Rhinolophus ferrumequinum: one gene and its partners. The protein of the gene in region 3 interacts with the protein of the main gene of each other region in a pairwise test. Links are inferred from orthologs where the notes say so. Each region holds a gene or a part of one and is shown on either strand. Other genes may lie near its edges. The genes, in order: VAMP4, SYCE1, LMNA and TOR1AIP1.

The links.
Region 1: the proteins of LMNA (region 3) and VAMP4 interact in a two-hybrid assay, tested with the Homo sapiens proteins (2 studies listed by BioGRID and IntAct, with this or other methods). The link is inferred for Rhinolophus ferrumequinum from reciprocal best matches to the Homo sapiens genes LMNA and VAMP4.
Region 2: the proteins of LMNA (region 3) and SYCE1 interact in binary tests that used the Homo sapiens proteins (3 or more experiments, as listed by UniProt). The link is inferred for Rhinolophus ferrumequinum from reciprocal best matches to the Homo sapiens genes LMNA and SYCE1.
Region 4: the proteins of LMNA (region 3) and TOR1AIP1 interact in a two-hybrid assay, tested with the Homo sapiens proteins (2 studies listed by BioGRID). The link is inferred for Rhinolophus ferrumequinum from reciprocal best matches to the Homo sapiens genes LMNA and TOR1AIP1.

Annotation. Positions count from the first base shown.
Region 1 is NC_046305.1:7,488,865-7,496,094, forward strand, and holds the start of VAMP4 (vesicle-associated membrane protein 4), read right to left. Parts: upstream 3,001-7,230; 5' UTR 2,803-3,000; intron 1-2,802. Other genes in the region: METTL13 (eEF1A lysine and N-terminal methyltransferase), read left to right, coding at 3,502-3,654, 4,951-5,710, 6,972-7,171. UniProt on the Homo sapiens protein: Involved in the pathway that functions to remove an inhibitor (probably synaptotagmin-4) of calcium-triggered exocytosis during the maturation of secretory granules.
Region 2 is NC_046299.1:31,911-39,732, forward strand, and holds the start of SYCE1 (synaptonemal complex central element protein 1), read left to right. Parts: upstream 1-4,809; 5' UTR 4,810-4,828; coding exon 4,829-4,898; intron 4,899-7,822. UniProt on the Homo sapiens protein: Major component of the transverse central element of synaptonemal complexes (SCS), formed between homologous chromosomes during meiotic prophase. Requires SYCP1 in order to be incorporated into the central element.
Region 3 is NC_046305.1:712,281-719,874, forward strand, and holds the start of LMNA (lamin), read left to right. Parts: upstream 1-4,574; 5' UTR 4,575-4,829; coding exon 4,830-5,185; intron 5,186-7,594.
Region 4 is NC_046305.1:12,610,283-12,617,621, forward strand, and holds the start of TOR1AIP1 (torsin-1A-interacting protein 1), read left to right. Parts: upstream 1-4,337; 5' UTR 4,338-4,746; coding exon 4,747-5,224; intron 5,225-6,895; coding exon 6,896-6,973; intron 6,974-7,339. UniProt on the Homo sapiens protein: Required for nuclear membrane integrity. Induces TOR1A and TOR1B ATPase activity and is required for their location on the nuclear membrane. Binds to A- and B-type lamins. Possible role in membrane attachment and assembly of the nuclear lamina.

The DNA of each region.
Region 1 (7,230 bases), about 6.8 Mb from region 3:
TTCAAGAAAGGTTTGATGCCAGCTCCTAAAAGGGTACGACATTATCCTTGGATGTCATGTCTGCCTTCCATTATTCCACGACAGAGGAAACCATTAATTTCTTCTTAAATGTGGAAAACAAACCCATGTGCAAAGAAGACTTCCGGTGTGAAATAGTTTCCAGCATAATATAAACCACTCACTGTACACCAAGGAGAGATTCCCTTCAAATAGTTTTCTATCCCACTTATGAAGCGTCTTCCCTCATATCTTGGACCACTAATTCCAATTGGATACCACCGACAGAATTGGAGAAGGGTGGGAGCCCTTAGGCTAGGCATGCAGGGTGGGGAGACTGGCGTTTCGCTCTGGCTTTGGCTTTTTACTGGTGTAATGACCTCTGAATTCCTCTCAAGCAACAGTTCTACAAATGATGCCTTTCTCCTTCCCTGTTTCTTTCGATAGATTCCCCAGTCATCCAGAGGCCAATGTGAAAGCCATTTTGAGTCCCTGTCTTTTATTCCCCGTATACAATCAATCATGAAATACTTCAGTTCTTCCTGAGAACATCTATCAGTCCTTTCCAGCTGTGACCCTGGTTCTCTACTGGTTCTCTTCCTGTGCCCTGACAGGTTTAATCTAAATGCTGGGAACAGATGACTTCTCAGAACCTGACCTTCACCTTAGTTTCTAGTTTTCTGCTGCTCTCCCTGTGGTCTGCCCCACCACACTCCCTCTCAGGGTTTATGCTCTGTATTAGTTTTCTATTGCTACTGTAGCAAGTTACTCAAAACTTAGTAATACAAATTTGTTACCTTCGTTTATGGAGGTCAGAAGCCTGACAAGGTCTAACTGGACTAAAATCAAGGTATCTAAGGGCTGCATTCCTTCTGCAGACTGTAGGGGAGGATCTGTTTCCTTGACTTTCCTGGTTTCTAGAGGCTGGAAGGCACTTTCCTTGGCTCACGGCCCCCTCCTCCATCTTCAAAGCCAGCGATGCTGGGCCAGCCCTCCTCCTGCCACCCCTTCTCTGGTTCTCCTCCTTCTGCCTCCCTCTTGCACTTTTAAGGACCCTTGTGATGACATTGGGCTCACGTGAATCACCGAGACTAGTCAGCTGCTACGCAACCTCCCCTCCCCTTTGCCATGTAGCCTAACTTATTAACGAGTTCTGTGGAGTATAACGTGGGCATGTTCGGGGGAACGGTATTCTGCCTACCACATCCTCGTTCCCATCTTCTGTCCCCCAGACTGGGAGAAATGCTTTCAATGATTTATTCTTCATTTTGCAATTATCTTAGCAACCATCTATTAATTGAATATTATTATCAAAAAACCTTATGTTTCAATTAAGTAAGGGTAACTGCAAATTATACATCCAGAGGTCTGGATTTGTAGTTTCTAGGGAAAAAAACACAGTATTGAATGGCTTTATCTAAACTCAGTTTGCATTTTAAATCATACCCGTCACCACTCCAGGAATCCTAATAAAACACAGAGCCCTGTAATATCTAATGGGCTTAAATTAACGATATTAATGATAACACACCTATTAATTATATTTCATAGTGAAACCTTGGGAGGAATGTTTCAAATATAAGTATTTTAAAAGACAGAGTCTAATGTTATGTCTCAAGTATTTCTGCAATTTCAATGTTCATTGGATTGTATAAACCCTTGGGGCGAGAGGGCAGAGGCTGCTTGTTTCTTTGGGCTTAGGCAGCACTTCAAGCACAGAGTGTCCTCAGCTCTGGAAAGTGCGTTTTGAAAAAACCACCTCTCACCCAGCAGGAACCCTGCACGACATGGTGGCTGAAGCCACCTCAGAGGTTCCTGCCAGTTCTTATCTTGGGTCGACAGGCAATAATGTGAAGGCAGCAGGTGGTACTTGAAAATATTTTCTTTGCTGTTACTTCTAGAGGGTTTTTGGAGTAACCTTTTAAACCTCTGGAGTTGGAACTAGATCCATTTTGACTTCTCTCAATCATATTTTAAAACTGGTTCTCCAAGTGTGGTCCCTGGGCCAACATAGTGGGTATTACCTGGGAACTTGCTAGAAGTGCAAATCCTTGGGCCCCACTGTGGACTGGATGCATCAGAAACGCCGGGGATGGGACTCGGCAACCCGCTTGAAGAAGCCCTCCAGGCGATTCTGATGCAGGCCCAGGTCTGAGAACTACTCGTGTAAACCAAAGTTGAAGTCGACTTGAACGTGTCCGACCACTGGCTGTCTACTCCGCTGTCTGTGCAGAGGAGGTCTGTGCCAGCCCAGACTACAGATGCTGAATTCTGAGCCTCGCTGCTCTCCCGGCCATGCGCGCCTCCTGCGAGTTACAGCGCTGTGAAAAGCCAACCACGCACACACGCGTTTCAGTCTTTTTAAAAACAGTGCCCTTCACGGCAACTTCCATAGGGTATTGGTATGAGACGAGCATCTGACAGTACCGCATGTTCATTATACACGTAAAATAAGCAGCAGTAACTACTTATAGATGACGTCAGAATGACAGCCGAAGGAGGCAGATCATCAAAATGGGTCTCAAGTTTTACATCCTGTGCCCTAAGGGGAGGAGAAAAAGAGGAGACACCTCTGCATCCCTAGTTGTTATTCTTTTCCCTTGAATTTTCATGTTATTACATGAATAGTGGAACCCTGTATTCTGGTATAGAAAAAGTGCGGTCCAGTGCCATTCTCCAAAGCAAACCTGAATTATACAGATAAAGGGGTTACACTAAGGCGGGGATGTGGCGGGAGAAGCAGACGATAAATGGCGAGGATGCGCAGTTTTCTTTCGCTGTGGACCGGATCCCCTCACTCCTTACCTCACTTCCTTCTACAGGTTTTTCCTCTCAGGAGGCCCTCCAGGGCGCCCGCAGCCGCGCTCCGCCCCTGTGTGGCTCATGATCAGAACTGGTGGAGAGGCCGGCTCAGAAACGATGCGGACACAGAGCCCGGGAAGGCTGCGCGCTCTCAGCCGCCGTTGGAAAGCCCAGATCTGAGACGGCTGCCTTCTCCCTGCGCGCTGATCTGGGCCTACGGTCCAGGCTCCAGGCCATTTCCGCCCCGACCCCTGGGGCCCACCCCCTTCCGTCTGACGTAAACGCTCCGCGCCTGCAGGAAAGCCGGCGTGAGGCGAGCGCGTCGCAGCCAATGAGGTGTGAGGAACGAAAGGCAGTGGCCAATGAGATGCTGGGATGGTCTGAGCGGCCGACCAATCGGGAAGCCTCGCACCCGGATATGATTGCGGGTTCCGAACCCGAGCTCTGAGAAAGTGAGAGACTCAGCACGTGAGGCGGGCGGTGGGTGAGGGGGAGGAGGTGAGCGTGTGATAGGTTCAGTGTCTCCCGCGTGCGGTTGGCGTATAAGGGTCATTCCTTTGTGTTTTGAGTGGGGGATAAGTCAATGTGGCTGCTTGTCCGTAGGAAGAATTCCCGCTGCAGTGTCCTGGAGCCCGCGGGCGGGGCAGCCCCTCCGTTGGTGCCTCCCAGGGCGTAGGACAGTCTTGAAGACGCAGGGAGAATATGAATCTCTTACCAAAGAGCTCCAAGGACTTTGGCTCCGTTGACTACTGGGAGAAGTTCTTCCAGCAGCGAGGGAAGAAAGCTTTCGAGTGGTATGGAACTTACCTGGAACTGTGCGGGGTGCTGCACAAATACATCAAGCCCCGGGAAAAGGTAAGCGCGCCTGACGGCCCTGTGTGTGTGGCGAGGAGTGGGAACTGCCTACCAAGTAATCCTGCACAGAGTAGACAGTGGCAGGCCTGGGGCCTCTAATTCGGCCCATAATTTCAGGATTCAGGCTAAAAGGCAGCTAAGTATATCCTAAAGATTTTCAGATAACAGACCTCCAGCCCCCGCTCATCCTTCTGTTAATAGCCCGACTGGAAGACTGACGTCTTTAGTTAATCCAACCTAGGTAACGACTCCGAGAGAAGGAAAGTGTGCGTTTCTGTCACTGTGCATCGCTGTGAGGCAGGCAGCAGCTGTGGCTTTACTGATACGTGACTCTGTTATCACATAGTTGTGTCTGGGCCGCCCTGAAGTTGTAACAGCAGTAAGATGTAAATACTGGGCACATTCCAGAAGGGACATGTGATAAGTGCGATGGTAGAAGGCTTGACGGGGGTTGTAGTGGAGGTAGGGCAGGAAGGAAGAAGAGTAGAAAGCTAACATTGCTGAAGGAAGCTTTACCTGCCAAGCCTGGTGCTCTGTGTGTGTGTGTGTGTGTGTGTGTGTGTGTGTGTTCGTTCAGTAGTTGCATTTGCATAACAAACTGTGAGGTGAGTGGTGGTACCTGCATTCTACAGATGAGGAAACTGAGGCTCTAAGAGTCAGTTTCTTGCCCAAGATCACACATGTAGTAAGTAGTCACATAGGAATTTAAATTGAGGCCCATCTAGCTCCAAAGCGTCTGCACTTCTCATTGTACCATGCTTTTCCAGAGATTGTGATATTAGGACAGAATTTTAAAGGGTTGATGGGAGATTACACCACAGAGAGGGATGCAACAACCTGTGTTTACGTTTGGCTTCAGAAAAATATAATATCAGGAGGATGAGCCAAAAGTATGAGTGGAGCAGGATTATGCCAGAACTAGGCTTTCAACAGGAAAACAAATAGCAGATTTCAACTGTAACTAGTGCATTTGGATTCTGACTTCCCATCAGTTTTCTTGAGTTAATTAGGTTTGGTTCAGAGAAAAAGAACAACCGTGATTTGTTTCTGCAATATAGAAAGCTAGTTTCACATAACTTACGTTGTTGCTGAGTGTCGTTTTCACGAGTGAGTCCTCTAACCAGTGGTGTTCCACAGTGGGTCCTAGACTCAACTCTGTAATGGCGCTGTGTCCTGTGATAGTAGCATCTTCCCCTTTTGAAAACATGCAACAGCCAAAGCGAGACTAGATTCCTCGAAGCACGGGGAGCTCATTCCTTTGTCACGGTCACTGCCATCGTGTTGGTTTCCCCCCAGGTGCTGGTGATTGGGTGCGGTAACTCAGAGCTAAGTGAGCAGCTGTATGACGTGGGCTATCAGGATATAGTCAACATCGACATCAGTGAGGTCGTCATCAAGCAGATGAAGGAACGCAATGCCAGCCGCCGGCCCCAGATGAGCTTCTTGAAGATGGACATGACCCAGATGGAGTTTCCCGATGCCTCGTTCCAGGTGGTGCTGGACAAGGGCACCCTGGATGCTGTCCTGACAGACGAGGAGGAGAAGACCCTGCAGCAGGTGGACAGGATGCTGGCTGAGGTTGGCCGTGTCCTGCAGGTGGGCGGTCGCTACCTCTGCATCTCCCTGGCTCAGGCTCACGTCCTGAAGAAAGCAGTGGGTCACTTCTCTCGGGAGGGGTGGATGGTGAGGGTGCACCAGGTGGCCAACAGCCAGGACCAGGTGTTGGAAGCAGAGCTTCGGTTCCCCCTGCCTGTCTTTGCCTTCATCATGACCAAGTTCAGGCCAATCCCTGGCTCTGCCCTTCAGATCTTTGAGCTGTGCGCTCAGGAACAGGGCAAGCCTGTGCGGCTGGAGAGTGCCGAGCGGCTGGCTGAGGCGGTGCGGGAGCGGCAGCAGTATGCCTGGCTGTGCAGCCAGCTGTCCCGCAAGGCTGGGCTGGGGAGTCTGTCCCTGGACTTGTGCAGTGGGGACACGGGGGAGCCACGCTACACCCTCCACGTGGTGGACAGCCCCAATGTGAAACCATCGCGGGACAATCATTTTGCCATTTTCATCAGTGAGTTGGCATTGGTCCCTCTCTTCTCTGGAGGGGCTGGGGTGGGGCTTTGGTGGATGGGTATGCCTTGGCTGGTTTTATCTTGCAGGGGGCGGTACTTTGGTTAGACTAGCCAAGGCGCGAGGAAGGGACAGGAGCAGCTCTCCAGCTACCTGCTTCGATTTGGAGCTTATTTGTTCTCATCTTCCATTGCAAAGGCTTGATGAAGTGGGAGAAAGGGGGCGGTAGGGAGAAGAGAGAAGTAACAGATCAAATGAGGGACGTCACACATTGTAGAGATGTTAGTTACTTTGTAACGTGGAGGAGTAATGGAAGCAGTGGATGCAGCTGCCAGACCCGGGGAAGTGGCTGTGCTTCTCTGCTGAGTGTGGGGAGACAGTACAGAGTAATGACTACAAATGCGAGCGCTGGAACCAGACCGTTTGGGTTCCAGTCCTGTCCCAGTCACTTCCTGGTGGTGTGACGTTGGACACGTTACTTTTCTTTTTGTGCTTCAGTTTCGTCATCTATAAAGCGAGAGCGTAACTACCTTGGGTAGTTGTGAGAAGTGTCAGTGCTCTTAGGACGGTGCCTGGCATGTGACAAGTGCTTTACAAATGTAAGCATCGTGATCGAAAGGGGTGCATCATACCAGATTGACCTTAATAATCAAAAGAGAGACAATGAGGGAATGCTTTCAGAAGTAGAAAATGTTAGACGACTAGGCGGTGTCGATATGGTCATGCTCGTCATTTGATGACTGGGCCATTTTCCCGAGGGTTCCGTAATCCCGACTGCCCACCTGTCAGGACGGATAGTGCGCTAGGCTCAGCGTGGAGTCTGGGCGGGGCTGCCTGGTTTGGAGGCCCAGGTTGCCACTTATTAGCTGTGTGAACTTGGGCAAATAATGTAACTTCTGTGTCTCAATCTCCTCGTTTATGCGGTGGGAATAACGATGCTACGTGCATCCCGGGCTCCTGGGAGGATTCGATTCGTTTCCGTTTGTAAACGGCTTGGAACACTGCCTGGCGCGTGATGAGCTTGAGCGCTACTGCTCGTTTCCTTGCGCCAGGTGCAGCCTCCATCCCTTGCCCACAGGCTCCCACTCCTCCGCCCCCTCGTGCCCTCTGGCTGCTTTGCTCTGCACCTTGGGCCCTCGTGCATCGACAGCCCCTCAGTTGGAAGGGCGGGACAGGGCCTGGCTCTCTGCCGTGTGGCTCGTACTGGCTGTGGGCTCGAACACTCTCCCTGGGACCCTCTGTCACCAAGTGCCTGTTTGCAGTCCCCCAGGGTCGGGAGACTGAGTGGCTCTTTGGCATGGAAGACGGCCGGAAGCAGCTGGCGTTGAGCGCTGGCTTCAGGAGGCTGATCACCGTGGCGCTTCACCGAGGTCAGCAGTACGACGGCATGGACAGCATCCAGGCCGAGCTGTCGGCCAGAGTCATGGAGCTGGCCCCGGCCGGGATGCCCGCCCAGCAGCAGGTAAGAGCTCTGGCAGCAGCATTCACAGGTGTCTGGAGAAGTCGTACTAGCAGCTGGGA
Region 2 (7,822 bases), on a different chromosome or scaffold from region 3:
GAATGTGGGGTGTGGGGTGTGGGGTGCTGAGCTGCTGCCAGCCCACGGTTGCTGACTGATGTGTGGCTTATGTGTTTGGGATATCTCGGGGTATCCTTGGCTGACTGCACTGTGTTCCCAGGTCTTCCACATAAGCTCGTAGATCCCCAAGGACTGGAGTTCCCACACCAGGCCAGACCTCTGGACCTGAGGGTGGCACCAGCGTTGGACAAGATACCTTATGCCAGGGAAAAGCTGAGGGACTCTACCCCAACCCACCAGACAGGTCCAGCTACCACAGCTGTGCAGGGGGGAGGCTGTTCCAGCAAAGCTGCCCCAGGAGTCTGGTGTTCAGCTCCCCCGGCAAATGCTGCACCTGGAGTGGAGTCCCCAAGGCCCCTTCAACCTCAGTGCCCAGGCTAGAGACTGGGATCCCACCACAGCCTGCCTCCCCAGCTCTCCCTGGGGGCTGCAGTATGCCCCATGCAGGCCTCCCTGTGGTCTTTCCATACCCAGGCTTTCAGCTCTCAGACCTGGGTTCCTTTTGGTCTGGTCCTCCTGGGCTGCCTCTCTTACATGCAAAATAAATCTTTGGTTTGAACCGCACTCTCCCAGATGTGGTGACTTACAGAGGCTCTCTAAGCACACTGGGAGTTCAAAAATGGCCCTGGGGAAGGTCGGGAGCCTGGCAGGGAGGGTGACATAAGGCAGCATAAGTAAGAGCCAAGCTAGAAGGCAGTTAATTCAGGTGTGCCAAGCCCAGTGCCAGGTTTCACCTCCAGGACTCTACATTCCAGCAGGCAGCCTCCAGGGCACAGATGACTGTACCTGGGGCATAGCCCTGGGTCTGACACCTTGGCTCAGAAGAAGACTTTCGAATGAAGAGCCTTTCATGACCTTTACTCAGGTGTTATTCCCTAGATGCACACAAGATGACAGCAAAGAATACCTTTTCCAGGTGACAAACAGGTGTCATTCTTAAACCTCACACAAGATGGCAGCAGAGAAGAGCGTTTGCTTGCTCATTATGCAAATCCAGGCCCCTGGGACTGAGCTCACTAAGAAATAAATCCAGTTCCAGGCCCTTCACAGGCCTCATCTCACCCACTGCTCCCATTTTCCAGATGCAGCAGAGACGATTACTATCTCCATTTCACAGATAGTTAAAATGAAGACTGATTCTAACACACACAGTTCAGAGTCCAGAACCGAGGCTGACATGGGCCCACATGGGCCAGCTTGCACACATGGGGTTCTGGACAGAGTGATCCAAATAGTCCTTGCAGTGTTGGGTGGAATCTCGGTCATTGTATTTGAAGAAAAGCAGATAACCTCATGGTCCCGCTTGCCATGCACTCACCTAGGCTGGTTTTGGAGTGGGACCAGGGCAGGCAGCTGGGGATGGGGACAGGTGGGGAGGGAGGTGGTGGCCTGGCCTTTCAGGGGAGGACAAGCAGCACCAGATCCCTGTGACAACGACTCCCCCAAAGCTGAGCGATGACTGTGCTCGGGCCTTTTAAAATCTCTTCCTCCTCAGCCCACGGCACAGCTCTGCTTCTCCCCCATATTCCCTTCCTCTGAGGTCACATCTGACAAGAGATTCCTGGCTGCTCAGAATGGAGTCTGGGAAAACAGTGCAGAGTCAGCCAAGGACACCCCAAGAGATCCCAAATCCATAGGCCATACACACAGTCATCAACTGTGGGCTGGCAGCAGCTCAGCACCCCACACCTTACATTATCCATCTATTTCTGTCTCTGACCTTCTCCTTCAATCTCTGTCAACATCCGTCTTTGTCTGATTTGATTCAAGATATTCATGAAACATCTGCTCTTGTCACTACCCTACAGTGACTCTTACAAGCCCCCAACGGACCTTACCTCATCCCTAGCTCAGGAAGCCTTAGCTACCCATGTTTCCTATCTTCCTACCTCTCCTGCATGTGGGGTCTCGGACTCTCCTGTGTGCAGGGTTCCCGTGTGTATGTATTAAATCTGCTTATATTCTCTTGCTAATCTGTCTCATGTCTATTTGATTATCAGATCAGCCAGAAGAAGCTTGAGGGTAGAGGAAAGTCTCTTCCTCCCCCACCTAAACAAGTAATCAGATATCTAATAAAAGGTGAAATTTGGGAGTATATCTACATCACTGCATCATGCAATAAGATTCAACAATTTAAATTACCTTATTCTCAGGACTGAGTGATTAGATCAATGAAATATGGGACAATCTACCAATTTAACTTCTGGATGTGAAACTTTTATTACAGTTTCAAAGGCGGGAAGAAGAGGACCAAAAGTTTTGCCTTTGGACACATTGACTTTAAGCTGATTGTTAAGAAACAAGACTAATAAAGAACCTTTGACCCTCCGCCTTTCCTGCCTAAGAGATTCAGATGGAGACCTGGTTTAGGAGGAGAACCTAGGCATAAACTCCTTAGCACAAGGCGGGAAGACACCCAGTGGAGACTGCTAAGGACCACAGATGCCTCCCTGGCAGGTCAGAGGAGAGGCCTAGGGCTGTCCTGAGACCTGACTATCTCCTGCTGCCCATTCGGATGGGACGAAGGATCCAGCCAGTCCTAGGAGGGCCCCACCAGCCCTTAGAAAGGCTGCACCTGGAGGCTGGCAGGTCGCTGTACCCAGTCCTGTGTAAATCCACACGTGTCTACTGAGTGCCCTCGTGTGTCATCACTGAGCTAGAATCTGGGGCTGCCCGGACATAGTGGAGACCCCACCAACCCTTCTGCAGTGGGAAGGAGGGTGGGGAACCTGCTAGACTGAGGTTGAGTTGGATTTGAAACAGTGACCAGAGTCACATTTCATTCTTCTATTAGCAGAACCCAGGACCGGGGAGCAGACAACTAATGGTCCATTCAACTAGACTCATGTGTGACATTGGGTACGTCCTGCCCTTCCTGGAAACCTCAGAGAGATGAAATGTGGAGGGGGAAGTGGGCCGGTGAGGCTTAAACCAAACCCTAACCCCGGCCCCATAACTTTAAACCTCTACCCCTAAATCCAAACAACCCTAACTCTGGGCCCTAGATGCTTGATACTGACCCTTAAACTCTAAACCCTGACCCTGACTGTGGCCCTAGCATTGACACTGATTCTTCACCCTCACTTTCACGATATCCCTAGCACACTAACCCTAACTCTACCACTATCCCTTACTGCAGTCTGTATCACAGGACTGGTTCTGGATTTGAGGGTCTTTGAAACTTCGGTGTGCTTATTTCCTGCTTAGGTCAGTTCATTTCCAGAAGAGCCACCATAGTCGGCAAGAGATGGTCTACTCTGCTGTGGTTTGGTCAGTAAGCCTGGCTTGGACTGCTAGGTCTTATGTGAGTGGCTGTGACATCAGGATGGTGAAAGCAAGCCAAGGATGTTTCAGCCACTAATCCTGTCTCCGAATCCTAACGATGAAAGGAGACTCTGAATCTGGCCTCTGACACCACTTCGCACTGACCCTTCCCCTGGCCCCAACTCAGACCCTTACTTTGACCCTTAATCCTAACACTGACTTTTTTCATAACATTATCTATATCATGGGAGGCATTGATTTGTAGAAGGCATATTAGCCTTGAGGTGACAATTCAAGCTTTGACTATTTGCAAGGGAGTCTTGGTAGAGGTGACGTTTGTAAAGGCTTGCGGTGAGTTTAAGCCTGTTTGTTTTGAGGAAGGCTGCTGGCTAGAGCAGAGTGAGTGAGGGGAAGCCCAGGCAGGTTGGCCATTGTCGGGCTGGAAAGAGGATCAAATGAAATAATCTTCCACCATGACCAGAATACGAACTGTCGCACAGGAAGCACCCATTAAATACATGTTCATTCTTGTTTATTATAAGTACTGCCAGTGTCCAGCAACAGAAAACTGAAGACTTGGCTCGTAGAGCAGGGCTCTGCACACGCAGTGCTCAAAACTGCTCCTTGTGGTTGGAATGTCTCAGAACTGGCTTTGTGTGCAGTGAACGGGCTGGACACTTCATCTGCACCACCTGCACCCAGATCCACCCGCCTGGGGCTGCCCCGGGCACTGTCTCCTCAGAAACCGGGATTCCTGGAGGCAGTGAGCCCGGCGACGGGGTAGGTGAGCAGAAGCCCATTTGAGCCTCGCGTCCACCTCGGGGCTCCACCTGCACAGCCCCGGGTGACCACCGTGCTGCATGGGCGGGGAAGGATCCTTCATCCACTACCAGCGGGGCATGCCTGCACCCCCTGCCCTCCCTGCAGAACCCCCCCCTCAGGCCACGCCTCCAGTGGGGACGTGTCCACGGGGAGACAGGGCCAGACTCGGGATCAAGCTCGGAGGGACGAGGGTCCCCGTCTACTCTTGCACTCTCCTCTGCATCCAACCAAGAAGATCCACCAAGATTAGTCAGGTGGGCTGACAACACACTTGGTCTTGCTCCAGAATGCCAGCCCGGAGTCGTCGCTGGCACGGGAAATAACTGATGTGTGCAGTGAGTAATAGAGGCAGAGATGGGAATCGAACTCGGCTCTCAAACGCACCTCAAAGTTGCACTTTTTGCAATGCCAGAGACGTCGAGTCAGGGTGGCCCTTCCAGAAGCCTGTATACTGTGCAGATCAGACTGTTCAACAGGCCGACGCAAGCCCGGAAGTAGGCACGCGGCCCTCGCTTCCTGTGCCCTGACTTTGGGTTACGGCAGCTTTAAGCATGCGCACTGGCGCTTGTCCAACCGTTACCTCCGCGCCTGCTCCGGAGGAATGCGGCGCACAGAGCACTGCACTGCGCAGGCGTGCGGGAGGACGCCCCGCCCCCGGCACGGGTTTAGTCCAATCCCAGCGGAGGAGCCCAACGCCAGTGCGTCAGCCGGTTGAGAGGAAATGGCGGCGAGGCCGGGGCCTTCGAGCTCGGAGCCCTCGGGAACCACGGACCGGGGAGAAAAGGCTGGAGGTAATCTGGGGCCCGGCGAGGGCCTGCTTCGGAACCGGAACCGGGCTGGTGTCAGGCCGGGGCGGGGCAGGGAGTGCGCGGGCGGCCTCTGTCTCCGTCAGAACGGTAGTGAGGAAAAAGGACCGTCGCCTTCTGAGGGAAAGTCGACTGTTCCCTCGAGTGGGGTCCTTACCCACATCCGCCTCCGACGTGTAACTCACGCCGTATTTGCCATGTTTGCTTCCCCTGCTTTCTGCTCAGACAGCTTAAAATTGTCACAGAACATCCTTTCGACCTGAATCTCCTCAAGCGTCTCTGAAACACGAAAGGCACGTTTTCCTGGGTCTGCCACACCTGAGGGAACGAATAAGTCCCCATTGTCCTCATCTCACACCTCTGAACTTCCCTGTTCTGACCAGTGGATTGTTTCCCCCCAAAACCAGACCGACTCCTCACACCGACCTGTTGAGGGATGGCTCCCACCTCCCCAAGCAAGGGGGGGACGTGCAGTTTATTTTAATTGTTTAAAAGTTCCCAATTACAGCCCAAAGAGGAAAAAAATTCTGTCCTAGCCATACCCACCCCTGTAAGGATTTGCTCGTGGATGTTTCAGGGGGGTTTTCTAACGCAGGCAAGTGGAGAGAATTGTACGAGGAACTCCTGTGTACCTGTCCCCGCGCTTGTTTTTGGTCCATCTGTCCGTCTTGATAAAGTGCTGCAATCAGCGGAGCCTCGGTAGTTCTCACAGTTCCGGGCTTCGTCTGCCGCCCTCGCTCTCCTCGCTGCCCTCACGTGGGGAAAGGGTGAGGGAGCTCAGTGCAGCCTCTTTGATGCGGGCACTGAGCCCATTCGTCAGGCTCCACCCTCGGCCTCGGCCCCCCACCTCCTAATCCCGTCACAGGGGTGAGGATTTCAACATGTGAATGGGGGGCTGAAAGGATTCACTCTGTAGCAACCAAGTGACACCATGGAGACAAGGACTTTCCCAGAGTGAATTGATAGGAAGATTAATAGGTAAAGGCTTTGCAGTAGCCCGTCTTGCAGAATTGTTTAGCATTTAAATTGCTTTTTCCTTTTTCAGTCACCTTCCTGGGGGATCACGGAAAACACAGCGATGCATGGACAGAGTACTCACTGGAGCCAGGATGGTGGTGGGAAAACACGGGGAGGGAATGGCCAGATCCGCATACACCCATTCACACAGGGAAACACACGTACAGTGGATTTATAACAGGAAGGAAAATAATTAAAATTCAGGCAAATCAATTTTTAAATTATCAGCTCTCTATACTGATAACAGCATGGTATGCAAAAAGGATATTTTTATGAAAGAAGCAAGATGGAAAAATTATATCTAGAGCACTGTATAGGTTGCAGAGAAAGTTCTCTGAAGGCTACTTTACTAACTGATGATTGAAGAAGGGATTTGGATTTTTTGAGGGGAAGGCATAAGTGAAGGAACATTTTTAATCTTATTGTTGGATTTTTCTAATAGGACTATAGTTACTATTTGTGGAACTTTAAAATTTAAAAGGAGGGCACATTTGTTAACTGTCATTAGAGAATCAGAGGTTAATATCTATTGTAATGTTCTGAGTTTTAATTGTTGTACTGCAGTTACTACATAGGAGAGTATCCTTGTACCTCAGAAGTTCACCTGGGGTATTATAGGGTAATGAAGCATTGTGTCTGCAACTCATTCTCAAGGGTTAGGAATATTAGCAAATGGGGAATCTGGGTGAAGGATATATAGGAGCTGTATGTCCTGTTTTTGCAACTGTTAAGTAAATTTGAAATTATTTCAAAAAGTCAAAAGTAGGGGGGCTTACACTATACAGGCTGTTTTGTGCCCTAGCTTTCTTGTTAATGAGATACAAGTTGGCTCATTTTACAGATATTTACTACTGTCCCGCTGTATGCCTTACCTTATGACAAGCACTAGATATGCAATAGGGAATCAAAACAGAGGTACAGGTCACTGGTCTGTTAATAATACTGGGGGGAAAAGTGGTTACCCCAACAAACTGTAAAAGTCATTTTTGACTCACCCAGGGAAATCTATTAACTTTTAAAGGATGCAACCTTATGCAGAAATGTACATGGTGAAAAGTAAACCTCTCCTGTCTTTCCAACCCCAGTCTCCAGAGGTAACTACTGTTGAAAATTTTTTGTGATTCTGGCAGGAAATAATCTAGACATGATATGCATATATTTGTAGACTGACAGGTATATCTTTCATCTCTTTTTGTAGCCATGTCGGATTCTGTACTACACCAGTTTACACTTTCTTTCCTTTTAAGCTATCTAGGATCTTTTTCCAGGTTAGTACATGTGTATTGACCCCCTTTTCACTGGCTACATAGTATTCTGTTACAGGGATGAATCATAAGTTCTCTACTGATGGGCATTGAGGTTGTTTGAGCATTCAGATTGTTTCACGCTTTTACAAAAATGACGGTGACATTGGTTAATAACATAACTTTCAAATATACAATTCTACAGTACATTATTTGTATATTGCATTCTGTGCTCACCACCCAAAGTCTAGTCTTCCTTCCTTCACCATATATTTGACCCCCTTTACCCTCTTTATCTTCTTCCCACCCCCTCCCCCTCCAGTCACCACCATATTGTTGTCTATGAGTTTGTTTATTTTGTTATTTTGTTTGTTGCTTTCTGTTTAATATCGCACATATAGGTGAAATCATACGGTTTTCAACTTTTCTGTATGACTTATTTTGCTTTGCCTGATACTCAAGATCCATCCATATTATCGCAAATGGCAATATTTCATTTCTTCTTATGGCTGAATCGTATTCCATTGTGTACCACATCTTATTTATCCAATCATCCATCAAAGGATACTTTGGTTGTTTCCATGTCTTGGCCACCATGAATAATGTTGCAGTGATCAAGGGGTATAGAGGTACACATATCTTTACAAA
Region 3 (7,594 bases):
AGACTTTGCCTCTGTCATTTAGTATGTTGGGTTTTACGGGTGAGATGAGGGGTTCTCTGGCTTTACAAATGGCTCTTGATCACCCGCTCCTTCTAAGAGCCTTCTCCACTGAGCTAAACTGAGCTAATCGCTCTGAACCTGCATCATTCCTCCTTGCTGAGTCTGGGTGGGAAGAAGGCAGTCTACTCTGCTGTGCAACCTCAGGCCAATCACTCAACCTCTCGGAGCTTTGGGTTCTTGGCATATAAAATGCAGATAATCCTACCTACCTCATAAGTAAGGCTGAGGTGAAAATGAAATAGGATGCCCTCCAGGCAGCCCCTAGCCCGGTGCCTGGTACATGGCAGCCACCTAAAGGACAGGCAAGTCCTTCCACTTTCAAGGTTATGACCATCACCTGTGCATGAGGCATGAGTGACTCAGCACTTTAACAGTTGTTTCGTCCTGACCCTGTGATCAAAGGATGAACAAGACAGGGACCCTCCCTCAAGAACTAAGTCACAGTAAAGGCATTCCCAAACCATGGCCTTGACTCTCCAAATCACCCCATTCCCTAGACCCGCCTCCAAAAGTCACCCCTTACCAGCCCTATGGGGGAGTAGAACTGGCTCCCCAATGGCCTAGGACCCGTTTGAGGTCTCCCTCCCACCCCACCTGTCCAGGATTACAGCCTGAGGGTACCATCTTGGCATTCAGTCAGGACAGCCTGTGTTAAAATTCCAGTTCTGCTCTCAACCATGGGACCTTAGACAAGTGGTTCTCAACTGGGGGAGATTTGGCCTCCCAGGGGACACTTGGCAATGTCTGAAGACATATTCAATTGTCCTGAGGGGCAGAGGTGCTACTGGCATCTAGTGAGTAGAGACCAGGGATGCTGCAAAACATCCCCCTGTGCACAGACACTCCCCACACCAAAGAATTATCTGGTATCAATAGAGCCAGAGTAGAGAGACCCTGCCTTAAAAGAACGCCTTTCCTCGTGGGTCATATGGGGCTAATTGCGGGTATGTACCTTGTAGAGCTATTGTGTAGGATCCACAAGGGAACGCGGATCCCTACTGTCCGATAACAGGGCTAACAGGTCCTCATACCTACTCCCTGCATGAGTCAGTCTGCCTCTGGAATCCCTCCTGGTCTCATCCTTCTGCTAAGCCCACTCCGTTTGCCTTGCCTCTTGCCAGGCCGGCGCCTCTGCGTCCTTGCTTGTTGGTCTCCATGCCCCTCTTCTCTCCTTCCTGACCCCAGCCTTCTCAAGCAGCCAGAATCTTACCCCTCAGACCCCATCGCATGCAGCCCCAGCTCCTGTCTCCTCTCCATGTCTCCCGGCCTGCCCTTCTTCGCACACTTCCCCGCCTCACCTCTGCCCAGCCTCTGCCCAGCCTGTGTCCAGACTTCCTCTGGGCCCCAGTCCACCCCAGCACCTCCCACGCCTCCCGCCAAAGTGGCATGAGATAGTGAAGCACATCTTGGATTTGGACCAGGCTGCCTGGTCCAAGTCTGAGCTTGGCCTATTACTTACTGTCTAGTCTTGGGAAAGTCAGCCTCACCTGTAAAACGGGGACGCTCCGACCCATGAGGTAGTTTTGTGGACCAACCTGAGAATGTAGGTGAAAGCATATAGGTCCCGCTTTATATTTTTATTGTCATAGTGCTTACCACCTTCTGACTAACTGTAATGTTGTGTATTTATTGCCTATATCCCTCCACTATAATGTCACCTCCAAGAGGACAGGGATTTTTGTCTGTTTTATTCACTATTGTACCCTAGTGTCTAGAGCAGTGGATGGCACATAGTAGGTGTTCAATAAATATTTGTTGGATGAGTGAATTCTCTATCTCTATATAAGGCACTTCTATAAAGTCCCTCACTCTACTTCTTCTAAGGACCTTCCCTTCAAATGCTTGTAACTTAATCAATGCAGTATCCCCATTTTATAGATAAGGAAACTGAGGCTGAAAGAAATGCAGTAACTTGCCCAGAGTCACTCTCCTGAAAATGGCAGGGCCAGATGCATTTGTTCATTTCAAAACACTGAGCGCCTCCTGTGCGCCAGGCATTGGGCCCGTTGTTGGGGACACAGATAACCAAGACTTGGCCCCTTCTGTCCCCACAGCACTTTTGGGAGGAAGGGTCCTCGAGGGAGGCCCAGGATGCTGTGGAAACATTGGAGGGCCCCCCTCCCAGGTCACTGGTCTTCAAGACAAGAGCTCCTTCACTGCCCAAACCATCCCTTGGACTCAACCACTGTGTTCTGATTATGCTCCAGCTCCCAGGCTTCTGGAACCCATTTGGAATTCATTTGCCAGGTCAGGGTCCTATACTGCCCTTTAGCCACTGTGGTTGGTCTTGCCTCTTCCTATGTTTTTCCCACCAGTGAGCAACTGCCTTGAGACCAAGCAGAGTAGCTCAGTCCCCATGTCTTGGTAGCCACTCTGGCCAGATGAGGAAACTGAAGCCCAGAGAAGTAGTAGCAGATGTATTATCTGTCACATAGTAGGGGAGCGGCAGGACTGGGACCTGGGGTCCACCCAGTCCCAACTTGCCACGCACCCCTCAGCAGGCTCCGTCTTCTCAACTGGCCTCTTCCACTTTCTCCGGCTTCTCTGGGACTGGGGACCTGTACTGGGGATCCAGAGTTAGGACTGAGTATTCAGGAGAAAGCCCAGCTTTGAAGCTCAGATTTAGGATTGAGGTCATTTTGGTGGTGGTGAGGCCCTGGAAACTGGGACTCTGGAAAGGGCCTAGAGTGAAATTTGGGGTGGGGTTCCTCCCACCTCTCTTCTGCCTCTTTTCCCCAAAGATGAGGAGGTCCGGGATAGGAAGAGTTAAGTGTGGTTTTGCTTCCCCAGCCAGGAGGGGAAGCCAGACCGGGCGGGGGACTGGGTGGGGCAGAGTGGGGGCTCTGAGTGTGGGGGGGGGCTGAGGCAGTGGGACTGCGGGAGCCCTGCCCCTCACATTTCACTGACTCTCCCACCCCCTCCTCTGCTCCCAGTTTGGGAAACAGAAGAGGGAGAAGCAGAACAAGACTGTTTCGTCTGGGGAGCCCAGGGTGGGTGCCACGCCCTAGGAGAGAGGTAGCCGAGTCCTGGGTCCCTCACATGTGTGCATCCTGGATGCTCTGCACTGCCCAGTACCCTCCTAGAGCTGGGAACCTGAGCATCCCCGCCCTTCCTGGTGCTCCTCCCTAAACACTCAGAGCTCTTGCTGTAATCCTACTGCAGCCCCTCTCGTCCATCTGAGGCCAGCTCCAGAACCCACAACAGAGGGCCTGACCAACTCTGCTTCCTTTGCGTATTACAGAAATCCTGGTGTCCTGGAGCTGTAGGAGCTAGCAACATAATTTAACTTTCCTGTTTCCTCCTCAGAATAAGTTGTGGGATGCCAGGGGCAGGGCACCCATGGCTTCCAGCGCCTCAGCTCTGCCACCTCTTAGAAAAGATAATGTGGTTGGTGGGGCCAGAGCCAGGATTAGGGGATGAGAGTGGAAGACTGACCAAAGGGGTCCTTGGTGAGGCCCAAGGATGGAGGCTGTGGAGCCTGGGGTGGGAGCCTGGGGACCTGGGTGATCCTGTTTTGTGCGAGGGCCTGGCCCCTCCCCAGAGCCAGCTGTAAAGTAGACCTGGCTGCGCAGGAATGTAGATAAGTGCAGTGCTGGCCTTTGCATCCAGCAAGGTTGTGGGAGCTTTGTTGTCTCTGTTCCCCACTACCCCCTTTCTGGATGAAACCAGGATGGAGACTCACCACTGGCCATCCAGCCCCCTGCTCTGCTCCCACTTTCAGGCCCCTTCAGGAACCACAAAAATCTAGGACCTGATGTCCTGGCAACGTGATGAGTGCACACACAGCTCTGGTATCTGTTTTAAATTATCCATTAAAATAAGTACAGTCCTGGAAAAAGAAAAAAAATCAGTACAGCCCTGGATTTGGCAGGGTGGGGTAAGCGGTAGGAGGGATGAAGGGGGAGGGACCTACACAGCCTCTTTTCCCAATTGCTTGGGTCCAAAGGAAGGTGGTCAGGGGATGGACCTCAGAATCTGGAACTTTGCTGTGTGCCCCCAGGGATTCCTTCCCCACCCCACCCTGGCATTCTGAGATGGCAACTTTGAATGGGCTGCCCACGTGTGTGTGGGGGGGGTAGGGGTGACTCACTATTACTATGGGGAGGAAAGGGGGAGCTGGTGGTGGAAGAGTGAGTCACCCTGATGGGCACCAGCCTCAGCCCTCCCCCCTCCCCTTTCCTGGATCTGTCTGCCTAGCGCCCTCCCTTGCTTTACATCCACTTTCCCTCTCCCTCCACTCCCACCTTTCGCCCACCCAATCTCACCCCTTGGCTCTGCCCTTTACCCGCAAGGCCTGAGGCAGTGGGGGCAGGCTTGCAGCCGGGAGCGCTGAGCAAGCGGGAACCAAAACGCGAGCTTCAGCGAAGCCCGGGGCAGACTGAGGTGCGAGGGAGAGGGTGGGGCTCCACTCCGCCCGAGCTGGGCTGTCCTCTGCTCTGCTCGCCACTCCCGCCCCCACCCCACGGGTATGCGGCGGCTCCTTTAAGAGCAGTGGCCCCTCCTCCCATTCCCAGGACCTATTAGAGCCTTTGCCCAGTCGCCGGTGACTCAGTGTTCGCGGGAGCGCCGCAGCCACTGCAGCCAACCCGGATCCCACGTCCGACAGCGCCGGGCCCAGATCCCCACGCCTGCCAGGAGCAAGCTGAGAGCCTGCCGGCCGGCGCGCTCCGACCCCGGCCCCGGCCCCGACCCGCCTCTGTCCTTCGTCCCGAGCCCCGCGCCCTTCCCGGGATCCCTGCCCCGCGGGCAGCACTGCCACCCTGCCGGCCATGGAGACTCCGTCCCAGCGGCGCGCCACCCGCAGCGGGGCGCAGGCCAGCTCCACCCCGCTGTCGCCTACCCGCATCACCCGGCTGCAGGAGAAGGAGGACCTGCAGGAGCTCAACGACCGCTTGGCGATCTACATCGACCGTGTGCGCTCGCTGGAGACGGAGAATGCAGGTCTGCGCCTTCGCATCACCGAGTCGGAGGAGGTGGTCAGCCGCGAGGTGTCCGGCATCAAGGCCGCGTACGAGGCCGAGCTCGGTGATGCCCGCAAGACCCTCGACTCGGTGGCCAAGGAGCGCGCGCGCCTGCAGCTGGAGCTGAGCAAAGTGCGCGAGGAGTTTAAGGAGCTTAAAGCGCGGTGAGTGGGCCCAGGTGGCGGCACGCCCAGGTGGCGGCGGAGGGGCAGACTGGTCACCCCTGCCCGGCCCCAGGCGGCTGATAACTTTGCCATATAGTCTCCTCCCTCCCCGGAACTGCCCCTAGCGGGTGACTGGCAGTGCCAAGGGAAATCGGCAGGACAGGACAGAGAAGGGAGGGGTCTCTGGGAGATGGGTATCCAAGGGTGAGGGCATCAGGGCCAAGGAGGGATTGGTGGTAGGCCCGTTCAGTCAGGAAGGTTTGCCAGCCATTTGGAGCGGCGGGAGGGGCTTGAGCAAAGCAGAACTGACCCCACCAAGTCTAAGAAGTCTGGGCACTGCAGGACACATTGGAGTGGGTGAAAGGGTCCAGTTAGAACTTTCTTGGCAGGCTTGGCACAGTGCCCATTTTGCCCAGCCTGGGTCTGAATACATGAGGTCCACTAAGACAAACTCCCAAGTTGGCATATGTCCACTGGTGCTGGAGAGAGGTCACCAAGGCAGGGTGACAACCCACCCCCCACCGCAGGGGCATGGAGGTGGCCCCCTTGGCTCGACCCTATCCGGGTTCTTTCTAAGAGCTGGGAAACTCTCCTTCACTCACTGCATCTCTGGGACCTTCTCTGGACTCTGACAGTCCCCCCAAACAGCTCCAGGAGAGTGGCTCCCAGCTCAGGCTCCCCCGCAGCTCCCACAGCCCTTGGCCTGCTTGGCCCAGGAATGCAAGGGAGGGAGGCAGAGGCTCCCACTCAGGAAGTTGTGTTGTGCCCAGGTCTGGCTGCCCGGGCGGGCAGCTTCCCCGCCCTCTGCCTGGTGTCTTGGAGGGTTTAGGACTCTGTCCCTCTCGGTCTCCCTCCCTTGGGGTGAGCCACTTTCATTTTCCCAGCCAGGCCCAGCCGCTTTTGCTCTGTCCCATCCTCTCAGTCTGACTTTTTTTGGTCTTGGCCTTAATAAACCGGGAATACAGTGACATTTTTGAAATCCAGCCGTTGGAAGCTTTAGGCCACTCCTCCCTCACCCATCCCGGCCTGGCCCCACCCTACCCCACCCTACTTGACTCCACCCTCTTCTAAAAAGAACTTTGGAGCCTGGAAGTTTAGCCCCTCTTCAGCCCCCCAAGAATTTGGTTTCCTCCTGTCTACTGCCCTTTTCACCATGAAGACCTAAACCAAAGAGAACTAATGCTGCTTGCAGATCTGTGGTTGTGGGGGCCCTGTGGTTTGACTTCCCCTTATCTTCTCCAAACTTTTGCTCTTAGCTCTCTGGACATGCCTTCACCAGTCCCCAGTCCAGGGGTCGTAGGTGTGGCAGATTCATCTCTTGTAAAGAGTAGTGAGTTGCAAGTCGTGTGGGGAGATGGGCTTTTATTCCTGTTGAAAGGGGTCGCTCCTGTCTTTTTCACTAGTGATGTGGACGATTTAGTTAGCAGGACAGACAGGAGGTAAGCTTGGGGAGTCCCAGAGAATGTCAGTGTCGGAAACCTGTCCACTCAACCACCTTCGCAGATCCCAGCGAAGGGCTTTCCTGGCTGATGGGGGAACGGCACGAGTGGAGGCTTGGTCCCATGCTAAGCCAGCCACAGCAGTCTGTCTCCCCTGCCTTCTGGTGCAGCTGTCCAGGCCTGGGACACCAGGCGGGGGTGTGCACACGTGGGGTAGGGGCGGGGGTGGCGTGTGTACATGTTATATTTAGCCACCTGCCTCTCTTCTCCCCCACTGATCCTGGCTGGGGAGGCTGGGCTTCCGGCAAAGGGGGGTGGATTTGCACACCTGGATCCTAGGCGGATGGGCGGCGGCAGGGTGGAGACAAAGAAGGCTCAGACTGGGGTGACAGTCACCTTCTATGTTCCCAGTGGGAGGAGCTAGGATTTGTTGCTCCCTTTCGCATCTGCTGTGCCCAGGGTGAGGTGGAGAAGAGTAGAATGAAGAATTTGGAAGAGGAGGAGAGGCCCGTCTTGTCCCAATTTCTCCCACTAAAACCTGGAGAGAAGGTGTTTAATTAGAGCTCCAAGTTCAGGTCAAGGTTTGTGTTGGGATACAGAGCTGTCTGTAAGCTCCTGTGGTCCGGCCTGGGTACCTCGACCACACCCAGGGGTTTGGGATGCCCTCTTATTGAGCTGGATTGTGGGCTCCAAGCAGAAACACTCCCCCCATAAACACACATACGCACATTCTTTCTATCCTGGAGCCTAAGTGTAGGGAGAACAGGGAAGGCCTGCCTGGGGTCCAGGCTTGGAGCAGGGCCCCACCCCAGGCAAGACAGCTGGGTGGGTGACTCAGCCTGCCCCCCTCCCTCCCGCCCTGGTGGCTTTACAAGAGACAGTGGGAGAAAGCAGATGTCTCAGAGGGAGGGATGGGGGCCTGAATGTCTGCATCTCCGCCCCTCCCCCTGCTCCCCGCTACCCACAGTGA
Region 4 (7,339 bases), about 12 Mb from region 3:
CAGGGCCCCTAACACCACCCACCCTACCCTGTTGAAGGGCCAACTGTAAATCTGAAATTCCTGTTCCTGACCTACACCAATTCAAGACAACATAGAAGAAGCCTACACACATAAATCTCACTTGCCCTTTCCTCATTTTTTTCTCCAAAACACTCTCACACCCTATTTTACTTATTTTGATTTTTATCTGACTCCTATAGAATATAAATTCCAAGAAGGCATGGAGCGTTGTCTTTTGGTCTGTTCTTTCATTGCTGTATCCCCAGCACCTAAAACAGGGTCTGGCTAGTGCATAGCAGAGGCTCAAATATTTATTGGATTAATGATTCTTCATTTAACAGTGGTTTTTGATACATTCCCCTCTCAATCTTCCTCTTTTGGTAGAAGTCAAAAGACTTATGAACATTCTTAGATACTGTTTAGTAACTGACTGCAATTTCTAACTCAACAAAGAATAAGTGGAAGAATATTATACTGGGTTTAAATTTTCTTAATTTCAGTATAACACTTCCAGCTAGCCAGTTTCATTTATATCAACAGTCTTCAAAATATTTTGTCTATCACTCGTGAGAATGGGGAATAAATGGAACCAGCTACTATGTCTTTCATTCCCTTCCTCCTAATATTTTAATCATTATTTCCTTATTAAAAATAACATGTTGACTTCTTCCTATATTTATGTATTTTATCTGAAAAGTTTAAGTGTACTGAGAAAAGTCAGTACACTTTTTATGTCAAATTGCTGGAATTTATAAGTATGCTATTCTATTTGGAAAAGAGACATTTTTATTTTAAAATGTGAACTTCTTCCAGTCACTAATTTACAGTTACAAATAAATATAACATTCCATTTCTATATGATTTTACAGCATATAAAGAATTTTTACAAAACTTTTCATTTCTAGTTTAGACTAAAAATGTATTTAACAGAAGAAAGGAGTCTGGACATCACTTGATTAATTTCGTAAGTAAGTGCTTTTGCAAATATGAATACTACATCAATGTGGCCAATAAATGATAAATCTTATATTTGTTTAAAATGTACCAAGATAATTGTGAATCACTGTTTTAAAAATTAACTTATTTTGAATAATTTTAGATTTTCATAAAAGATGCAAAAATAAGTGATCTCATATACTACTGTACTCCTCACCCAGTTTCCCCTAATGTTGACATCTTACATTCCTATAGACTATTTGTCAAATAAGAAACCAACACGTTTGATATATTACTATTAACTGAACTCCAGACTTCATTCAGATTTCACCTGTTTTTCCACTAATCTCTTTTCTTTTCAGGGTTCAATCCAGGATACCACATGGCACCTAGCTAAATCACTTTTAAAAGTAGTAATTTCTTAAATTTCAAAGGAATGAAAAGAAGCACTTCCTTACCTGCTCTATGCCAAAATTTCATGTGTTTAATTCCAGCTGTAATTAATCAGGCATGTAGGGGTTCATCTTTACAACAATTTATTCCTCTGAAATAAATACCAAAATGTTTTAATTCTGAAAATAAATCTCTCCTATAATAATCTTTTGCCTAATCCATACTCTATCTTGATTACCCCATTACTGAATACGTGGGCCACTTGTCTCTCAGGTTTGTGCTATGTAATCATGCATTGGTATATTTATTATTTTGTCATTTTTTACTAATCTCTTCTCAACAGATTCTTAAAAGATAGGAACAGCTGAGAATTGTACTATGCCTAAGGAGTGCTATTTCTGGCATGAATGAGTTAAAGAAAAATTTTCATAATACTTCATTCTAGTTTAATATAGCCTTTCCAAATACAAAGTTCCTCTTAAACCTTTTATTTGGGCACTGTCTTTATACTGTGAAAAAAGCATTTATCTGTATTTTTAAAGTGCTTTAATATCTCACTTTAAGGAACAGGAAGTTAAATAGTTTAAGACACTTGACTATTTCCTCCTTCAAAGAAATTAGTATTTTTATTATAAATACATGCTCATTGTAGAAAATTCAGAAAATGAAAAGTGTAACAGAAAAATTTAAAAATATATAGCTTCAAAAAAATAACATTGTTGCTTTCTACTAGGATATAACCCCAAAGTGACTTGCTTATCTGAGCACACAAATATGACTACCATGTACAATGGATTGATAAATGACTCCTCAGTGTATATAACTGGATTTCTGCTTACCCTAAAAAACTCATATACAAAAATGATTTTAAAATGTTTCATTTAAAATAGCTGCTTTATTTTGAAATCTAGTGTCAAGAACACTAGATTTTTGAGACCTAGAACAGCTAGGTATATTGCCAGTCATTTAATCTGAATTATAATTGTTTGTATATGTCTCCCTAATACATGGCAAATTCCCAAGGGATAAAGAATACATTCATTTAAAAAAAATTTTTTAATAATTAAAAAAACTCATTAATTTAATCCATATATTTATTAAACACCTATTCTGTGCCAACATAGATGTTTAATAAATATGTGAATTAATGAGTGTTATAATTCTTTGTTATAATCCTTTCTTCTCTTACCCGTCTTCTCCTTTGATTCACTGAATTACTCTATATATCTCACATTCCCAGAGTAATTGTCTAACACCCAGAGCTCATGCCTCCACTTGGTATTGGTGGCCCAGCAATTCCCTTATAATAGTGGCTGTGAGTCTACTGTCTCTGCAGCGTCACCTCTTTTGGACATCCCTACAGTTTGGAAAACATTTACAGCAGAATATCTAGTTTGACTAGAGTTTAGCTTTGCCTCAGCTTTTTGTGATGCAAGTTGGTATTTGTAAAGTTGCTAGGTGTGGAAGGCAGGTATGACGGAGCTAGGATTATGTATTATTACACATGGATTGATGAGTCAATAATATGTAGAACCTCTTGTCCTTTCTCTTTTTTAATATGTCCCCCAAACCTAAGTTTACAAGTCTATATCCAAGTTTCTATATAGTCACCTGTTCTGATGTTTTAAAAAGGCTTTTAATATATGCACTAAAGTTCATAATATGAACTTTGTACTTTAATACTATAATTTTATATCTCTTAATTACATTACAGAACTTTTACTACCATATGTTAATGAGTAATATAATTAGCACCTTATAAAGCATGACTTAAAACAAATAAAACCCAGGTATTAAGCAAGTACCAGTACTTTTCAACATTTTATCAGAAAGTAAGTCCCACAAATTTTCCAAATATACTATCTAACCCAGGCTGACAAGGGAGAATATGCCTTTAGTTTTCCCTTAAAAGACTTTTTTTTTTAAAGTAGTATCTCCCTTGTCACTGTTCCTCCAGTTTCTTTGGCTATATTTTATATACCAAACAAAGCTAGACTAAACTAACAGGCTAAAACCTGATTCTCTAAAGTATGTAATTCCTTGTGTCTGTGACCAAATACTATATGGCCAAATATATTAGTGAAAACATAGTACATCTTAACATTTCATTAAATCGAAATTTGTGCCCAGTTTGAGCAAATGAGTTACTCAAAAGCATTCTAAGGTGATTTAAAATACTTGAAAGCATAAACAATTAAATACCTTCAAAATTTTCAGAATCCTTCATTTTAATTCGTATCATCACAATTTTTAAAATCTATTTACCAAAATCAATTATAAAACATCCTCCATGAAAGTGTGCAGTTGAAGATAACATTAATCTGTTTCAATAATTATTCAGACTTTTTACTAACTTAATGTCTTCCCTCAGTGTGTCTAAATTTGGTTGCCGATTATCCACATCTGTAAATACGGTATTTGGAGGTGAAACAAATAGTGCTTATTCATACTTTCTTATTCAGTAAAATAAACGCAGGAAACTGTAAATCAAATGCAGCGTATCCAGTCAGGTCCAGCATCAAAGTAAAAATAACGGACCACAGCTATAATTACAGCTGTCTTTAACCTACGAATTTGTTCATTTCCCTCTGTCCATGAACAGCACTAATAAACTTTCACAACAGTGCTACTGAAATAGAGCTTTTACACAAAAGCCAGGAATATGACGTTTGCTATGCGTGTATTTTGCAAATGGGAATCCACCCGAGTATGTCGGGAGTTGCGATTTTATACTCTCAACAGGTGACTTAAAATTTAAAACTGGGTAACTGCTTTCATAAGGAGCTTGAGACCAAAATTTTCTCTAAGAAAAGATGACACAAATGTATCTTTATCAGTCATCACTCCTGCTAGAGACATTTCCAGGCACGGCTAAGGTAGCAGGGGATCAAAAAGGTTCCAGAAAAACTGCGCAACAGCCTGGGGCTGGGGACTGAAACTTCTCCACCCCCGTCTCCCTCCGCCTTTCCAGAGACTCGGTATTGGGAGCCAGCTCCGGCGTCACCTGCGTGCGGGCAACAGTTGCCACGAGCAGCTGGGTTTAGGGCACGCAATTTGCCAAGCCAGTTGTCCCTTCTCTGTCGTCCCCTCCCTCTCCCCCAAGGCCGAGGACAGCGACGCCCTCCTCCCTCTTCTCCTCCTCTTTGGTGCCTTCAGCCAAGAGGCGGGAGTGACCCCACGAGCAGCTGACCCAGCACAGGCACTGCCTCTCCCACAGCCCTCGGACACACCATGGGCCCAGAGGCGGGATTGCAACACAGCAGCGACGACGCAGGCGGCAGCCCCGGCGACTCTCAACTGCCTCCCTGACCATTGCGACCACCGCCCATCACCCGGATAAGCCGTCGTCACCAACGGCAGGAGATTCTAGAGTCGTCAAAGCCATCTTCGCTATCGACTCAAGCTACGTCAACAACTATGGCGGGCGAGGGGCGGCGGGTGGAACGGGTGATGGTAGGATGGGGGATATACGTCACACCCAGGGCCCCCATCCGGGAGGGAAGGCGACGGCTCGCCCCTCAAAATGGCGGTAGCAGCGACGCGCCTGCGTACGGAACTCCTTCGCCGTCGCGCCACGGCCGGCGGGAAGTGAGGTTCTCCGAGGAGCCGCCAGAAGTGTACGGCGACTTCGAGCCTCGGGTGGCCAAAGAAAAGTCCCCGGTGAGAACCCGAATCCGACTAGAAGAGTTCCGGCCTGATTCTGCGAAAAAGGAAGTGAGAGAAAGCGCCTACTACCTTCGGTCTCGGCAGCGGAGGCAGCCGCGACTCCAAGAAGCCCGGGAGATGAAGACGCGAAGTGCCGCTCGCCCCCAGCAGCAGCACTCACCGCAGTCTCCGCTACAGCCGTCACCGGTTTCCACCCGGAGAGGATTACGGGACTCTCATTCCTCTGAAGGTGAGGCCAACGGAGGTAACAGCTCCAGCCGCAAGCTCAGGAGCGAGCGAGCGCGGCGAGCGGGCGGGCGGGCGCGGCGTGTGTACACGCCTCGGAGGCTGGTGGGCGTCCCCGCGGAGTTCGTCCCGGCCGGGGCTGGGGTGGCTCCCTCCCGCTGGAGGGAAAGCAGCACAGGTGGGAGGAGTGGAAAGGCAGTCAGTCGTGCGGAGCAGTGAGCAGAGTCGGGGATCTCTGCTCATCCCTGGGCATCAGTTTAGGAGTGTCAGGAGTGCCTTTCTGCGGTCCTTCACAAGGGGACGGCGAGTTAGGCGGCAGGCGGGACACCGAGTGACTCCGGGGTCGGTTTCATTTCGGTTTTCTCTGTCCTGCGGCTGTATCTACCAAAGCCACTTCCATTTCCTCCTTTGACACTCAGAGGCCAAAAGTCCCCAGCTGAGAATCAACGGTTCTGAGATGACCTTCCAGTGTTTTCCCATCACTATCCACGTGGGGAGAGAGGGAAGGAAATTTTGTGAGTGGGCGTTTTGTGGGCTAGCATAGTTGGTGAATTGACTTGAGACCCCACTCAAGTACATACACCGAAAAGGGGTAAGTCAGTTATCCCGAACTTGAAGCCCCCAATGTCTGATAAACTTGAGCACTGAACGCTCTTTCTCGACTATGATGGTCTCTGCCAAAAATTTGCCACGTTGGGGGCTCTACGTGTAACCTCAGTGGTTAAGTAGTAGCCTGACAAAGCAATACTTTTTTTTTAGTTTTCATCTACATGGGCGAAAAGGGTGCTGACAAAATGAATGTATAGTTTAGGTGAGTCACAGGTGAACCAACTCCCTTAATTCATCCTCTCCCACCTTGCACCCAACCGCGATCTAACGCTGAGTCACAAGTGAAGTTTCATGTTAGCCCCAGGTAAGGCACCTATGAGGTAAAAATCAGGGGGTTTGAATCACAGTGGGATTACATAGTTAGGTACACCATTGATGGATATGAAGAAGACACGGATTTTCAGTGTAGAGCAGCGAATAGGCTGCACGTTTACCTGCTGACACATTTGAAGATGTGCTGATTTTGGAAACTTTCTGTTAAAAATATGTAAGTTACTATAGGGTGTATTCACTCAATACAGTTTAGCCACAGATGTTAGTTTTATCGCTCTCAAGATTATAAAGTTCCTGAAAACAAAAATCCTACCAAATATATTTGAAGGACTATGTTGTACTTTAGTACTTATGTTAATTTCCTTCAATATCAGGAAAACTGTTTTGCACATATTTTTATTTAAATAAGTATATGTTAAATTGTATTGACTTGCACAGAGCCTAGTGCAGTTGTGTAAGTTAATTTTTTAACACATAAAGGGTTTATGTCTATTGTAACTATAAGGATCTAAATATTTTTCACTCTTCTGCATCATTGATGACGCTCCAGCTCATCTTTTAAATTTTCTAAAGTAATATATACTTTTGTTGTAAAGCATCAGTGATGGACAGTTTATTTTTGTCTTAAGAGTATTTCTAACTAGTTAAATTTATAAGTTTTGGTAAACCTAATTTCACATTTCTAAAGAAATGAATTACTTGCATTTTTGCTTATATGTTGCTATTAATATGCATAATCTCTTACCCAGATCAAATGTTCTGTATTTTGACATTTGTCATATTTATTCTTCAGAGGATGAACCATCTTCGCAAACTGTTTTAAGCCAAACAGTCTCAATGAAAACTACCAGGAGAGCACAAGAGACTCCAGGTAAGAAAAATGATTTAGGTTTTTTCCTTATCTGCCAACTTTAGTATACACATTATAGCCTGTTTAATCAAGGGTCCCAAATCATACCTCATTCAGAGTTTCAGTGAATGTTCTTTATAGGTGTTTATTGAATTAAGCAATGTGTCAAGAAAAGACAGGTTGCATACATGAGAACCTCGTAAGTACCACGCACTTTGTATATGTTAATTCATTCACATATGCACAATAGATACACCTGTTTTTGTTGCTGTTGTTTTTTTTTTAATTTTATTGGGGGAAAGTATGTTTCTGCAGGGCCCATCAGCTCCAAGTCATTGTCCTTCAATCTAGTTGTGGAGGGCGCAGCTCAGCTCCAAGTCCAGTCGC